2 linked regions of the Alligator mississippiensis genome follow. The protein of the gene in region 2 interacts with the protein of the main gene of each other region in a biochemical or structural test. Links are inferred from orthologs where the notes say so. Each region holds a gene or a part of one and is shown on either strand. Other genes may lie near its edges.

Region 1 (7,747 bases), on a different chromosome or scaffold from region 2:
TAAATCACGTTTGCACAGGCATCTTGGCCACACTTGAGAATCTCATGGCACCCTGGTTGAGAATCACTGAGTTAGACCTTCCTTGTGAGCAGATTATTCCCTGAAGTGTCTTGTGGCCCGTTTCTTGCACCTCCTCTGAAATAACTGGTGCCAGTTACTGGTAGAGACAGGATTCTGGTCTAGGCTTCCCACAATGGTCCCTAACTGAATATGGCAATTCCTATGTTTCTTTGTACTAAAGGCTTCAAAATATTTTGAAGGATATCCACTAGCCTAATGTCTTTAGCTCTATCTCTTAGCAAGGTGAAGCCCAAGATTTAAAAGTCAGACCCCTTGCTCAATATTTCATTTCCATTAATGCATCTCAATGTACACCCTACTGTCATGGCTGTGCCTCGTAGTACAGTCAAGTCTTCAACTGTGCCCAGGTTACATAATATGACCCTAAAACATAACATGGTCAACCTCTAGTACCACAAAGGTCAGAGGTTTCAAGAGCAGCAGTCAACTTTCTTCTTCATAATGTGGGCTTCTAGTCAACAACAGACCCTTTATACAAAAGATTGGTTTAACAATATAATGTATTACCAGAAAAAACACCTACTTAAAATGGTAGATTTTTAGCTAAGGGAAAACACTTCTGCAATAAGGACTTCTAATTTATTAATGTCTTATGCACACAAAAGTTAAGTAAAAACAAATAAGTCTTCATTTTTTGAAAGGGAACTGCAATAACCTGAATGATTACTTACCTACTACTAGTCCACATTCTGAACATATCATGTCTCCAGCTCTGTAATCCTCTACTAAAATTGAATCTGGATGGTTTGGGCAAGTTACTCTTGGAAGAACATCCAAACTAAAAAAAACAAAGAAAAATATTTAGATATTTTATCTGCCGACAAACTTTAATCAACGTCTGTGTTTCCAAAGACTATTCACATCTAACAGGAAACCTCTATTTCAGTGATAGTGCAAGAAAAAAACCCTTCAAACCATACCCCATTGATACCATTTTTAATCTGCATCACAAATGAGCTGAGTAATAAATAAAAAAAAAAAATGTGTAAATGATACGACTGGATGATATCCAGGGCTGTAGTTAGTATACATAAGAAACATTTGGTAGCCTAAGACCTGGAAGAAATTAAGACTGAGACACATTTTGTGATCTAAAATCTACGTGTCTTTCAAATAAAATGTTCACTGCCCACAATGTTTTAGAAAACAAAAAAAAATATTTCTGCTTACAGGACAATACCATTGCCACATCATATGAAATATTTAAAGAAAAAACTACCTTTAAACAAATGTTAGCAATCTCAAAGCAGAAACAAAATCACCAGTTTATAAAAGGGATTAGGAAATGGGTGACTAGGATAATGGGATGAACTAAAGTCCTGTTTCAGGACTGTTTCTGCCTTCATACAAATATATTAAAAACCAAAATAAATGTAACTGAATATATAATAGGAAAAATAATCCAGCTGCAACAAAATGTTAATACAAGGCAAAAACAGCTACAAAGTATCAGTGTCAGACAATATACAAAATGTGCGCTAACTACAACGTAAGAAAGCATTTGGAGTGCCCCAAATTCACTTGCAGTTTACACAGGATTTCAAAGCTATAATCTTGCTAACACAGATAAAAGTACATATTGACATTAAGCACTGATCAAATCCTACTATGGGAAAATATTTTCACTAAACATTTTACAAGTAGATACCCTATAAAAAACACTGTTGACAGTATATGGACCCTAGAAAATGTGATCATCTTAAAACCTCACAACCTGACTACATTCAGTTGGTATAGTAACTTTTTTTTTACTTGGATTCTTCAATTCATTAAAGCTATAGGTGCCATCTACTAAAATGAAGGGCAGCAACTCATCAAAACAGAGAGATTTGGTCAGAAAAATAAGTGGCTTTCTTATCAGTACTAGGCAAACTACTACCACAATACTCCAACTACTAATTATTTCTTAAATGTAGAAAGTAAACATTAAAGCTACAAACAGTCATTTACATATTAAAAAAATACAAAGATTTTTTTTTCTAGCTGCTTCTTGAAAACCTTGTGTAAAGGCCTGGTAAAACAACTGCTTTCCCCACCATACTCTAGGCTGCTAATGTTTCAGATGGCCAGACTAAATGACAAAGCATCACAAGCAACCAGTTGATAATTTGTCATTACACAAGAGGCCGTTGGCATTGTAAATGAAAAGAGAAGTAAAGCCACAAGCTTTACAGAAGTCAAGGGCAGGCACGGTTTCATTTTGTGCAGTGGTGTCTGACAGCTTAGAGGATGCCCGTTTTCCCACACCTACGCCAGCACGGCTCCTAGACCACCTATCTGGAGTCCTGCGTGTCCTCATACGCAGGCTGAAGCACTCGGCCAGCCGTAGCCGTCGCCGGGTCACTTAGCGCTGTGATAAAAGCGCCGCAAAACTCGGCCTAAAGAAGATTCCTCCGGCAGCGCCCGAGAAGTCCGCCTTGACCGCCGAGCTGGAGGAACGAGCCCCTTCCCGGCGCGGAAGGGACCGGGTCAAGCACCAGATCCGCTGGCAGCGCCGGAGAGGAACCGACACGGGCGCAGGCCGCGGCCTGCTCCAGCCAGGCCCAGGCAGGAGCGCCGGGCCCGCCCCAGCGAGCAGCGGCGGCAGGAAGGCGGCCCGACCACGTCCGGCCGGCCGGGGCCCAACCGCTCCCACCGCCACGGGGCTGCAGAGAACGGTCAGGGAACAAAGGAGGCCGCCACTAGTGCGCCCAGCTCTGGCCCCGGCCCCGGCCGCCTCCACCTGCGGCTCCCCTCCCGGCCCCGGAGGACCCGCACGGCCGCAGCCCACGACGCTCGGCCTCCCCTACACCACCAAGGGCAGCGGCGCGGCCCCCGCCCCCGCCTCACCGGCTAGTAGACGCCATGTTGCTTCCTCCTCCGCTGCAACGTCTGCGCAGGAGCAAATACAGCCATCGCGCACCTCCTTATATACCCTCGGGCCTGGGGGCGGGGCCCTGCCGGGTTCACTACGGGCTGCGAGCGGGGACAAAAAGATTGTCTCCCTTACTTGGCGCCTACCCTTGCCTCCCAGTCCTCCCCAGGCGGGGCGGGGCTTATCAGGGGCTGGTTCCGCGGGTTTTGAGTCGCATCAGGACAGGTGACGGGATGGGAGCGACTGCGAATTAGCGCTTGTATTCGGATTCTTCAAGGTCCTTGAGGTGCACGTAGGACACCGAGGCTGAAAAGAGCTCCCCGGGTTTGACCCGAGACAAGAACTTCGTTCCCCTGGGAGCCCGCAGCCGGCGTCGCCGCATTGTGCGCTCGGAAGCACGCGGCCAGTTTCATCCAGGACGGAGTGGGCCGGGATGTGAGTCCCATCTGCACAGGTTTAAACGGCAATTCGCTCCAATTGCCCTGATGGTTTTAAGGCAAAGTATCAGCTCGGCTAACTGGCAGGTACTTAATGGCTTGCCCTGGAAGGTCTGGGGTTTGATGCAGTCTTGATTCCCAATCAAGTTGCTGTTTTCGCTTTCAGTCTTTGGTCCAGAGAGGCATACGCTTGCCCTGTGCAAACAGCCTTTCCTAGCACCGGACAAAGGCTGTCCCTTGTGAAACCAGCCTCTAAACCATATGGTCTCTATCGTGCCACTCTGCCCTACTTATTACCAAGTGTCCAGACATGGAATAGTTCCACAAAGCTATTTGGCCCAAGTTTTTAAGGCCCTGGGAAAAACAAACAAACAAAACTACTGTTTTTTATATAAGGTCCCTGATTGATTAGGGGCAGTGGTACAGTCCTTTTCACCAACCATAAAAGGACAGAACGAGGAGGAGGAAACAGGAAGGGAATAAATCTAAAAAGTGGGTAAAGCACCTTTAGGGTGCAGGCAGAAGTGCAGGTCCCTGCAGTAACCAAGGAGGAGTTGTAGGAAGATTTCAAAATGACTTGGTGTGATGTTCTTAACTTGTTAGGACTGGGCACTGTCTTGATTGGCAAAAAGGAGTATTTTCAATTGTATTACCTCAAATTGAGGTAGTTTAGCAGGACCAAAAACCCTTCACACTTGTTAAAATGCAGATTATTTCTCTGAACTAACACCAAATAGAGACGCCTCCCACTTTGCTAGGCCTTTTATCCATTGCTTTTGTTGATTACTTTAATAAAGCATTGCTACATTGATTCACAGATCTCTTCCCTTGGCATAGAAAGGAACGAGGACTTGATTTTTATAAAGGAAAGCAAAGCTTGCATTCCACAGAAAACAGTAAAATCTGCATTAAAGAACAGAATTTCACAAATCCAGATTTTTTGAATGGGGGTACAAATCTAATAAATACATTAAATTTATCACTAGACTCTCTGAAGCCTCATTTATCTATTATTTCAACCTAGGTAGATTTTGAAAAACAAATGTAAAGTGGATTGCCCTGATTAAAGATTCAATGTAACCAGCATTTAAAATTTAGAAAAATCACCCCTTTTTAAAGAAAAACCCAATTGGATATTAAATTAATGCTGTATAAAAATCTTGACACCGTACTTTAATAATAGTTTGCATTTATTTTCTTTCAAAAATAACAGAAGTTGGTCTGCAACAGAGCTGGGTAATTATTTCGGGTGGAGGGCCACTCAACAAGTTTTGGTGAGCTATCAAGGGCCACATGGGTAGTCCTGGCCTTTGACGGTTGCCCCATTCCCTTGTTGCCATCTTGGGACCAGAAGTCCCAACCTTAACCCCTGACCTTTGCCACCAGAAGTCCCTTCCCTTGCCCCCAGAAATACTCCTTTTGAGAGGGGAGGTTTGCCATCTTAGAACCAGAAAAAAACTAAATCATACACTAAAAGTCAAACACCTACTATAACTTATTTTAATTTTATTACAAAAAATATTTTTGTCATGTTTTGTGTTTGTGTAGTGGTGACTGCATAATAACTCAAAAATAAATTCTTAGTCTTATATATTGTGGGGGGAAGTTGTATGGTAGGGTGGGTATGTGTAGTATGGGTGTGTATGGTGGGGTGTGGGTTTGTGGTAGGATGTAGGTACGTGTGTTGGGGGGTTATGTATATGTGGGGGCAGGGTGTGGATGTGAGGGAAGGTTGGGGGGACTCCCCGTATGGTGCAGCAGTAGGTGGGGAAGCAGTTTTCCCTCCCCTGTAATGTGGCCCCTGAAGGGAAGGCAACTGGCTCCAGTGCTTGAGGCTTCCCTCTGGTGCTACGCAGCCCCGGCAGGGAAGGCAGCTGGCTCCAGCACGCTGGGCTTCCTTCACTGCTGTGCATGTGGTGGGGCACACCAGCAATACAGGTGGCCCAGCGGAGACTGCACCCCTCGCTGCAATGTGCAGCTCTGGCCGCAGCTGCATCCCACCAGGTGCCTGCACCCTAAGCACCACCCCCCCCGCTGCTGCTGCCACCGCCTGCAGGGGCTGCATGCCATGGGGGAGGGCAGGAGTGTGGGGGGAATGTGGAGGGGTCCCCACACACCCCCCACTCTCCCTCATACTGCCCACCCAAGCTCCACGCTGCCGCCGCCCCATCCCCCTGGGCACAGGCTCTGCACTGCTACCAGCCCCAACCCCACGCTCCCACCCAGCTGTAGCCCCACCTCTACTGCTTCCCAGTCTGTTGCCTGGAGCAAGCAGGAGACTGGAGAAGCAGAGCAGGTCCCTGGGGGCTGCAGCAGTGGCAGCAGCACCCTTGCACTGAAGCTGCATGCTGGTTGTCCAGGCCCTTCTGCCCATGAGGGTGGGAGCCAGGCAATAGGGTACATTTTTGGGGCTGCATGTACACGTGAACGCCTCACTCCCCGCCCTTATGGACAGAAGGGCTGGGCACAGCACAATTTCTTAGGGGGCCCCGCAGGACAGATGAAAGTGCTCAGAGGGCTGGATCTGGCCTGTGGGCCATATTTTGTCTGCCCCTGGTTTGGAAAGAACTTCCAGAGATCACCTAGTGGCTGTTCAACCCCCTGCCTGAAGCAGGATCATCCCTATCCAAACCATCCTAAACAAGAGAGGCTTAGGGGGCGGCGCAAGACACACAGGTGAAAGCCTGTTGCACCCCCACACTTCGAAGCCCCCCAGCAACCCCCAACAGGTGTGGAGCGCCCCCACCACCCCCCAGCAGCAGCCGAAGGCAGGCAGGGCCCGTGGTGGGAGGGGAATAGCTCAGCTCAGCTGTGGGGAGGCGACTAATTAGGAGCCAAGGAGGGCCTCACCCCGCCCCGGCCCTTACTTCGCCTAGCCCCCCAGGGAGTCATGTGACCGGAGCCTCACGAACAGGCCGTGCAAACAGGCACGCTTGTCTGCCCGGTGCACAAGTTAGCTCAGAGTTTGCGCAGGAGGGCGAGCAGGAGGGCCCGAGGCCCTGCCTGTGAGCCTGCTAGGATAGGCATTCCCAACCGTAGCCGGCCTACCAGCAGCATACTGCAGATGGTCACACGCAGCACCCCGAGGGTCCCCTCAGGGTCTGCGGCCCCTGCTCCCTGGCTCCTCAGAGGTCTCTACCCAGACTGAACCCATGGTTCCGGGCTCCATGCAGACGGAGCCCCTGGCTCTAGGCTGCCTGTCACTTTTTCAGGCTCTGGGGTCTGGAAGCATGGCCAGCCCTCATTGTGGGGTATGCTTCCTTTTGGGGTCTATGGTACGCAGCTGGAGGAGCTCCAGGCTGCAGTCCAGAGACTGTGTGCCATCAGGGACTGTGAGCAGGAGATCAATTCGTACTGCCAGGCCCTTCTCCCCCAGGAGGCGAAGGGTAGACCACAGTCACCCTTCAGGACAAGGGAGGACACCGGGACCTCCCCTTCTGTCCAGCCACGGGGATGGACGAAGGTGGTCAAGGGCCCCAAGGCCTGCTGCACCAAGGTCTCTGCCCCACTGGAGCTTTGCAACAGGTATGAACCTCTTGCAGCCCCAGCAGGCAACACAGGCTCAACTGTAGCTACCGCCCCCGCTCTCCCCAAGACAAAATGCAAAGTGTTTGTCATGGGAGACTCCATCCTGAGCGGGACTAAGGGGGCAATCTGCCGCCCTGATCCCTTGGCCCATGAAGTCTGCTGCTTCCCAGATAGAGAAGCCTCTATCCGAGACATTGTGGAGAAGATCCCTAAGCTCCTCTGGCCCACTGACCACTACCCTATGCTCCTCATCCATGTGGGTACCACTGACACAGCTCCGAACACTCCCAGCTGGGTCATGAAGCACTACAGGGATTTGGGAATGGGATTTAAGGGGTTGGGGGTGCAGGTGGTGTTTTCCTTGATCCTTCTGGTTTCGGGCTATGAGCTGAGGAGGGGGAGGGGGATCCAAGTAGTGAACCAAAGATTGCGGCACTGGTGTTATCAGGAAGGCTTCGGCTTCCATGACCACAGTCCGCTCTGGTGAGAGAGGCAGTGAGCTGCTGGGAAGGGATGGCCTCTACCTCTCCGCTGGGGAGGAGGCTCTTCTCAGCCAGACTGGCTGACCTGCTCCACCGGGCTTTAAACTAATCCCACCGGGGGGTGGGGGTACTACCACCACTGCTGGCCCCCTGGGCAGCCCTTGCAAAGCCATCAGGCCAAGGCGCTTAAGGGAGCCCACCCCTGCTCCAGCCCTGGAACAATCTGTGGGCAAGGCTAGGGCCCCCAAGGGGACACTTGTGTGCCTGTACATGAATGGCAGGAGCTTGGGGAATAAACTGGAGGAACTTGTCCTCCTGCTCAACACAAATAATTACAATGTCATAGGGATAACGGAGACCTAGTA
Region 2 (7,199 bases):
CAGCAAAGCTGGGTGGAGCAGGGGGCTGCAGGTCAGAAGTGAGGGGAACCAGCAGGGCGGCCGGGGGTGGGGGGAGGAATGGAACAGGAGAGGACGGGACGGGACACTGTGGCTTGGAAGTGAGAGCATAGGGTAGGGTGGCTTTTGGGTTGGCTGTGGGGCACTGGCAGCACCAAAGGGTCACGGGTTGAGTGTGAAGAGCACTGGCATGACCAGGAGGGTGGGGGAGGGAATTGTGGGTCAGCAGCAAGGTTGGGGGCTGTAGGTCAGGATTGAGGGGTACTGGCAGGGCCAGGGGGCAGTGGATGGGGAGTGAGGTGTCCCCCTGACAGGTGTCCTCTTTTTTGGAACTGGACATATGGTAACCCAGGGGTCAGCAACCCCTGGCACTTATGCCAAGCATGGCACACCACAGCCAGCCCCAGCTCCGGCCCAGGCTGCTCCCAGCAGGGCTGCAGCATCCCAGCTGCCTGCTGCGAGCAGCCCAGTCTCCCGACTGGCAGCAGCTCCCCACAGCCGTGCCGGGCTCTGGCATCAGCTTTGCACTGGCGCGTGCACCCACGCGTCGGAGTGGGCGGTGGGAGGGGCCTGAGGCAGTGCAGCCCCAGTCTCTCCCCCACTCTCGGCACGGAGCTTGACACAGCTGTTTGTAGCCAGCCCAGGCTCTGGGCGGCTGCAGCAAGCAGGCTGCAAACAGCTACGCCAGGCTCTACAGCTCTGGCATCAGCTCTGTGCTGGTGGTGACTACACATGCACCTCAGGGCAGACAGCGGGGCAGTGCAGCCCACCCCGAGATCTGCATGCAGTCACTGCCAGCACGGAGCTAATGCCGGAGCTGTAGAGCACGGCGCAGCTGTTTGCAGCCTGCCTGCTGCTTGCTGCAGCTGCCCAGAGCCCAGGCTGGCTACAAACAGTTGCGCAGAGCTCTGGAACCCTGCTATTACCTCTGTGCCGGGAGCGGGAGACCAGGGCTGAGCTGCCTCAGGCTCCTCCCCCATCGCCCACTCTGACATGCAGGTGCAAGTGCTGGTGTGGAGCTGATGCCAAAGCCTGGCACAAGCTGTTTGGAGCCTCCCGGGTCTGGGGAGCTGCTGTCAGTCAGGAGCCCAGGCTGCTCCCAGCAGACATCTGGGACACTGCAAGCCCTGCTGGGAGCAGCCCGGGCTCCAGCAGCTACCCAGAGCCAGGGTAGCTGCTGGCAGCCACAGAGCCCAGGCTGGGGGGCAAGGGGCAGCAGGGCTGGGGGGGCAGGGGCTTTGGGTGAGGGGGGCAAGGGGCACAACCAGGGCATCCTGCCATGTACCCCTTACCCTCATTTTGTTTTTCTGCCATGCCAGCACGCCGGCACCTTCCGAGGTAGGCATTGTGGTGTTTTTCAGTACTCCGGCCAAAAAACATTGCCTACCCCTGTGACAACCCTAGCCCTGCTTTGAGCAGGGAGTTGGACTAGATGACCTCCTGAGGTCCCTTCCAACCCCTATTTCCTATGATGCTACAAGTAGTACGTAAGAAGGCAGATGTTGAGGGATATTTTCAAGGGAACCTGGACACGCAAGGCAGAGATGCACACTCACTGCTGACAAAGCCAAGCCAAGCCAAGCCACAACTAGCCAAGAGATCCTTATGCAGCAATTACAGACATTTGACCCTAAATGGTCTACATCTCCTCCACACAAACGCACAGGGATGGAAGGCCAGAGCTTGCCTCAGACCACCAAGAGGGATCCCAAGAGGCCTCAGACCTTGACAACCCAGGAGCAAGCATGCCTGTGTATTCTCTGCTGTAGGTAACTGCTCTTGATTGTTTAGGTTAGATCAGTGTTTCTCGACCTGTGGGTGACGATCCAAAAGTGGGCTGCAAGAATATATGAAAGGGTTGCAAACAAACTTTAAAAACGGATCAACAAACTTTTAAAACGGAGACAAATGTAGGAAACGCTGGGTTTTCCCTTGCAGGCTGTCAGATATCCAGCCTGCGAGGAGCTGCTTGGGGCCCCCCATTGCCCTACACACTGGGGAGCTTGGGCCTGGGGGCACTGGGTCAGGACTGGCCATCAATGTTTACAAATGGGTGCTGGTACAAAAAAGGTTGAAAACCGCTGGGTTAGATATTAGGCAGACAACAGAACAAGGAGCAATGGTCTCAAGTTGCAGCAAGGGAAGTTCAGGTTAGCTATTAGGAAGAATTTTCTCAGTAGGACGGTGGCAAAGCGCTGGAACAGGTTCCCCATAGAGGTGGTAGAAGCTCCATCCTTAGAAGTTTTTAAGACCCAGCTCGACAAAGCCTTGGCTGGGATGATCTAGTTAGGGCTGGTCCTGCTTTGAGCAGGACTTTGGACTAGATGACCTACTGAAGTCCCTTCCAGCCCACATGGTTTAACTATGACCTACTGTCTATGACCAGAAGGACAATATCCCCATGCACCCGCAGCCAGTGCAGGAGGACTGCCCTTGGCTCCTCTCGCGCCCCCTGCTGCATAAGATAAAAGCCTCCAGGATTGCCCTAGCTGCAAGGCTGGACCTGAGGCTCCTTCCCGGTTTCTGTGCAGGGAGCAGCAGCACCCCAGGGCAACGGTGGCCCAGACGAGCAGTGCTGGCACAGAGCAGAGTGCGTGGGGGCGGGGGCCAGGCAGATGCCCAACTACTCCGCGCCGCCTCGGCCCCTCTCCCCACAGCTGCCAACGGACACGCTCCCCTCCGCCCCCCACTGGCTCCTCAGCTGCCCCCCTCGAGCGGCTGGGGAGACGGGCCCGAGGGACACCACCCCGCGCCCACGTGGGCGGTCCGTGCGGCCCGCCGGGGAGGCCCATGCGCCAGGCACGTGATGCCGGACCCGGACCTCGACCCCGCCGCTGCCCGGCGGGAGGGGCAAGCTCCGGGTGCGCCTGCGCAGTAGCTGGCAGGAGGCCGGGAGCGGAGAGCCTGGCGCCGCGCGCGCGGGACTGACCTGCCGGCTCCGGGTGGTGCTTGGCGCCCCCCGTCTCCGGCAATGCACGTCACAAATTCCTAGCCGCGCACGCGGGCGGTGTCGCACGGCTGTGACGCAAGCGCCTATTCGGCACGCCAACGGTAGAGGGAGAGGTCCGCCCACCCGCCATCCTGGGTGGACAGGAGGAGGGAACCAATCGCTATCTGTGATAGCCACCTTTGATCCCGCCCCCTCCCCGCCTCGGCGAATGGAAAGCGGAAGAGGCGGAGCCAATGGGTGGAGAGTTAGCTCGCAATTGGGCGGCGTGCTGAGTGGCTGTTGCTAGGCAGGCTAAGATGGCTGCTTTGGACAGGGTCAAGGTGCTGGTGCTGGGGGATTCCGGTGAGTAGTTGGGGGGGGAGTTCCCGTTATCACCCTAGGCCTGCGCAGGTACCGGACCCTTCTCCCCCGCGCCGGGCATTGGTGGCGGGGGAGGGGGGCGCAGTGACGCACACGGTGACGTGAGCAGGGGGCGGAGCTGGTGTAGAACCCATAGCTGCGATTCACGCTCGGGGCGTAGATGCGGGGGCGGGGCGCTGGGCGAGGGGCGCTCTAGGTGGCTCTGGGCCTCTTTGTGGACCTCCCCCCCGGGGGGGGGGGGGGGCGGGCTCTAGTTAGCTCAGCCTCGTTCGGGAACCCATCCCCCATGCTCTGGAGGACTGGGCCTATGCAAGACTGACGAAGTCTGTGGGCCATAGGTTGCCGACCTCTCCTTTGGGGCACCAGGGAGTGAAGTCATTTTCCTGCGGCCTGAGAAGCATGGCATGACAAGCACGTGGACATGTTCTTCTAAACCCAGGCCACTGTCAAACTCCTGGAGAGCCCAGCAACAGCCAGGCCTGCTCCACACGTGCAACAGAAACGGCACTTCTGTGAGTGCTCTGAGCAATGACCAGAGATGAACAATGACCCCACGTGCATATTTAGGGCTGTGTGTGTGTTTGTACACTCACCTGTTTGTCACAAGAACTCCCATTGGAGCCACATCCCCGTTGAGGGCTTCCAGTGACCAGCGATACAAGTTTTGAGAGGACTTTTTGTTGGTTAAGTCATGCACTAAAATGATACCTAAATGGAGAGTTAAAAAAGACAGGATATAACTTGACATTTCCCTAACCTTTGTATTTGATCCAGAAGCTCTGGTATTAAGAGACAGTTTGGTATGAAACATTAGGAGAAGGGATCTGTTGTGTACTTCTTTAAGGAGCTTAAATGCTAGAAATGATAGCATTTCTACTTAAACATGATCCAAAGCAGGAGCGTAGTAGAATCTAGTTTTCGCCCTCTTCTGTCTTGCAGTTTAAAACAACCTCTGTGTATTCCTTTTTTTCCCAAAATTGAGCGAGACCTGAATGCTGTCATTTTCCTGGGAGGCCTTGAGCCTGGGAAGGTTGAGGGCCATGGCTTTAGATACTTCAGGGGTAACCTGTCACCATCTCCTCCTCTCAGCAAAACAGCTCCTTGAAGGGGCTTGCCCTCATCTTGCCACTCTTCTCTCGTTTAGTCCTTGCCAGCCCACTTACTTCTTTAGTTGTCTTGCATGGTCCTTGCAATTCAGCTGTGCTTTTCTTCCTGTGTAGTGCCCCAAACTAGATGCAGCAGTCATAACGGTGGATAAGCCATGTTTCAACTTAATAAGACATACAACCTAAATGGTGGAGGACGCAAGTAGCAGAGAGCGATGGGAAAACCCCTAGTCACACCTTGTTCACTCTCCCTTTCAGCCTCCCCTCTGCCTATGTGACAAAGGTCTATTTGCTGCCTTAGAAGATACATGGGGCATTTCCCACCAAATAAACTATTAGCCTCCCTTAAACGTAGAGTCTACTGGAAAGGCAGCACCTAATTGCTTGGGACAACTAAAGACAACAGGAATGAGAGTGGTCAAAGGTTAATAACTAGTGTGGCAAGGGGGGACACTGAGCAGAGCATACCGGACAATACCCATTGGCCCTCAGACAAGTCCAAGGAGCCAGTGGGCACTGCCTAGTGATATTCTGCCTGGAGATGGGATTGCACTAGGGACAGGAAAGTCACTCTGCCATCCCTGCTGTGTAACAAGCTTACTTGTTGCCTAGGGAACATGGGGCAGTACCCTCAAAGAAACACTGTAAGCGTCCCTTAGAGAGGAAGGCCAGTAGGTAGGCAACAACTGTTTTTTGGGGACAACTAAAGACATAACAGGGATAGGAGTGAGATCAAAGGTTTAAAGCTAGTGTGCCAAAGAGGGACACCCAGCAGAGCACACCAGACAGTGCCCACTGGCCTTCAAACAAGTCCAAGGCTCCAGTGGACAGTACCCAGCGATACTCTGCCTGGAGATGAGATTGGACCAGGGACAGGAAAGAGGCTCTGCAGTCCTTGCTGTGTAACACAGGATACTGGGCAAGATAGATGTATGGGCTGACCAGTAAATGATAGTTCTTATGTTCTGTAAATGATGGGCCTCATACAACCCTTCCAACTAAAGTCAGCATGCTGTTAGCTCTTTTTGTATTTCTCACATACCCATCATCAGTACCTTCTTTAAGGCAATTGCATGCTGGAACATTCATTTAAATGTTGGGTTTAATAGTATCGCTTGAACCCACTAATTATTGTAGTGCCATTTTTTGGTATGTTAGTAACGGCATACCAAAAAGTTAGGGGTGCATCGATAGAGATTTCTGGGTCCGATACCAATATCCAATTTTTAAGGAGGCATATCAGCCAATACCAATTAGATTTCCTATACGGTGTAGAGAGTTGCCTCCGGCTGGTAAGTCTGTTGTGGTGGAAGGGGAGCAGGGGAGGGAAGGGGCGTGGGGGGTGCAGATCAATGCCCATGGTGAGGGAGGGGGCAGGGGCAGCCTCTGCCCAGCTGGGACAGGGCATGGGGCAGAGCCATGGCTTGTTGGGGGGGTGCTCCCACTGCTGTGTGCACCCTGGGAGGGCACGGAGGGGTGGAGCCTGTGCCCCCTGGGTCTGCATGGGGCAGGGCAGATGGACTGCACCTGCGGGCAGGAGTTGAGGCTGTTCTGGGCTCTTCTCACCGAGGGCTGGGCTTGGGTTGGGAGCTATGGAGGGGGCTACAGCCACCCCAAATTTCGCTTTAGCCCCCTCCCAGTGCCACCGCACACCTGGTGCAGCCCCGGCCCTTCCCAGCACATGGGTGGAGGCTGGGCATTGAGCCAGGGCTGTGCCAGGTGTGTGGTGGTGGCAGAACACCCGCCCCCCCCCCCCCCCCCCAATGCCCCTTCCACCACAAGAAACTTACCAGCTGGAGGCAGCTCTCCATGCTGCTGCGCTGTGCTCCTTGTTGCCTGAGTGCTGCGCTGCAGCTACACACACACATTGGCATTTATCGACCAAATTATCAGCTGCATCGGGCCGATTTCCGATACAGCCAATTTTCTTTATATCGGTACCAATCCGATATCGGACCAATATATCTGTGCACCCCTACAAAAAATATGGTGTTAATGGCAAATGTAAGGATCTGTGTTGTCTATCATGCAAATTAAATATATGTTTGCTTTCAGGTGTTGGGAAATCTTCACTTGTTCATCTGTTGTGCCAAAATCAGGTGTTGGGAAATCCATCTTGGACTGTGGGCTGCTCAGTGGATGTGCGAGTAAGTGAACTTCTGGACTTGCAGTGTTGTTCCTGTTGTTATTTCTGATGTTGTGGTCACTGCTTTCTGGGTCACAAGTTTAAATCTGATTCAGAACTAGTTTGGGCCTTCACTTTTCAGATGTCTATAATTAAGTTTTGAGTGGTCTTTTGAATGATATTTTTAAATACCAAAGTCTTGGGTATTTTTCATGAATATTAAATGACCACTGGTGTTTTCTTAAAGAATAGCTTAATTTAGCTAACATCCTTAGGTAAAATTTCCTCTTCTTTCATTTATCTGTGATGAGCTGACAGACCCTCTCCACCCCAAAGTCAGGTTCATTTCATTGCTGTTAAACTTTAGAATCCTTTGGGGGAAAAGTGCTAAGAAAAAAATATTATTACTCTAGACTGAATATTTTTACTTACACAAATTAAGCTTTACAATGTCACCAGCTACAGAAGCCAAGATACATCTGTCTTTCAAAGCATCACAGCACAGTGACAGTTAATATATACTCACTAGGATATTATCCTTATTACTTTTTGGTAAGTGGTCAATTCTGAATCAGAGGATGAATAAACTGAATTCACAATTCCTTGGGAGACCATTACCATGCTGTTATGTTGCCAGCCA

The links. The genes of interacting proteins can lie anywhere in the genome.
Region 1: the proteins of GTF2E1 (region 2) and GTF2B form a complex in vitro, tested with the Homo sapiens proteins (2 studies listed by BioGRID). The link is inferred for Alligator mississippiensis from reciprocal best matches to the Homo sapiens genes GTF2E1 and GTF2B.

Annotation. Positions count from the first base shown.
Region 1 is NC_081828.1:30,984,569-30,992,315, forward strand, and holds the start of GTF2B (transcription initiation factor IIB), read right to left. Parts: upstream 3,009-7,747; 5' UTR 2,928-3,008; coding exon 2,911-2,927; intron 860-2,910; coding exon 753-859; intron 1-752. UniProt on the Homo sapiens protein: General transcription factor that plays a role in transcription initiation by RNA polymerase II (Pol II). Involved in the pre-initiation complex (PIC) formation and Pol II recruitment at promoter DNA.
Region 2 is NC_081824.1:253,467,816-253,475,014, reverse strand, and holds the start of GTF2E1 (general transcription factor IIE subunit 1), read right to left. Parts: upstream 3,066-7,199; 5' UTR 2,948-3,065; intron 1-2,947. Other genes in the region: RABL3 (rab-like protein 3), read left to right, coding at 3,265-3,310, 6,490-6,581.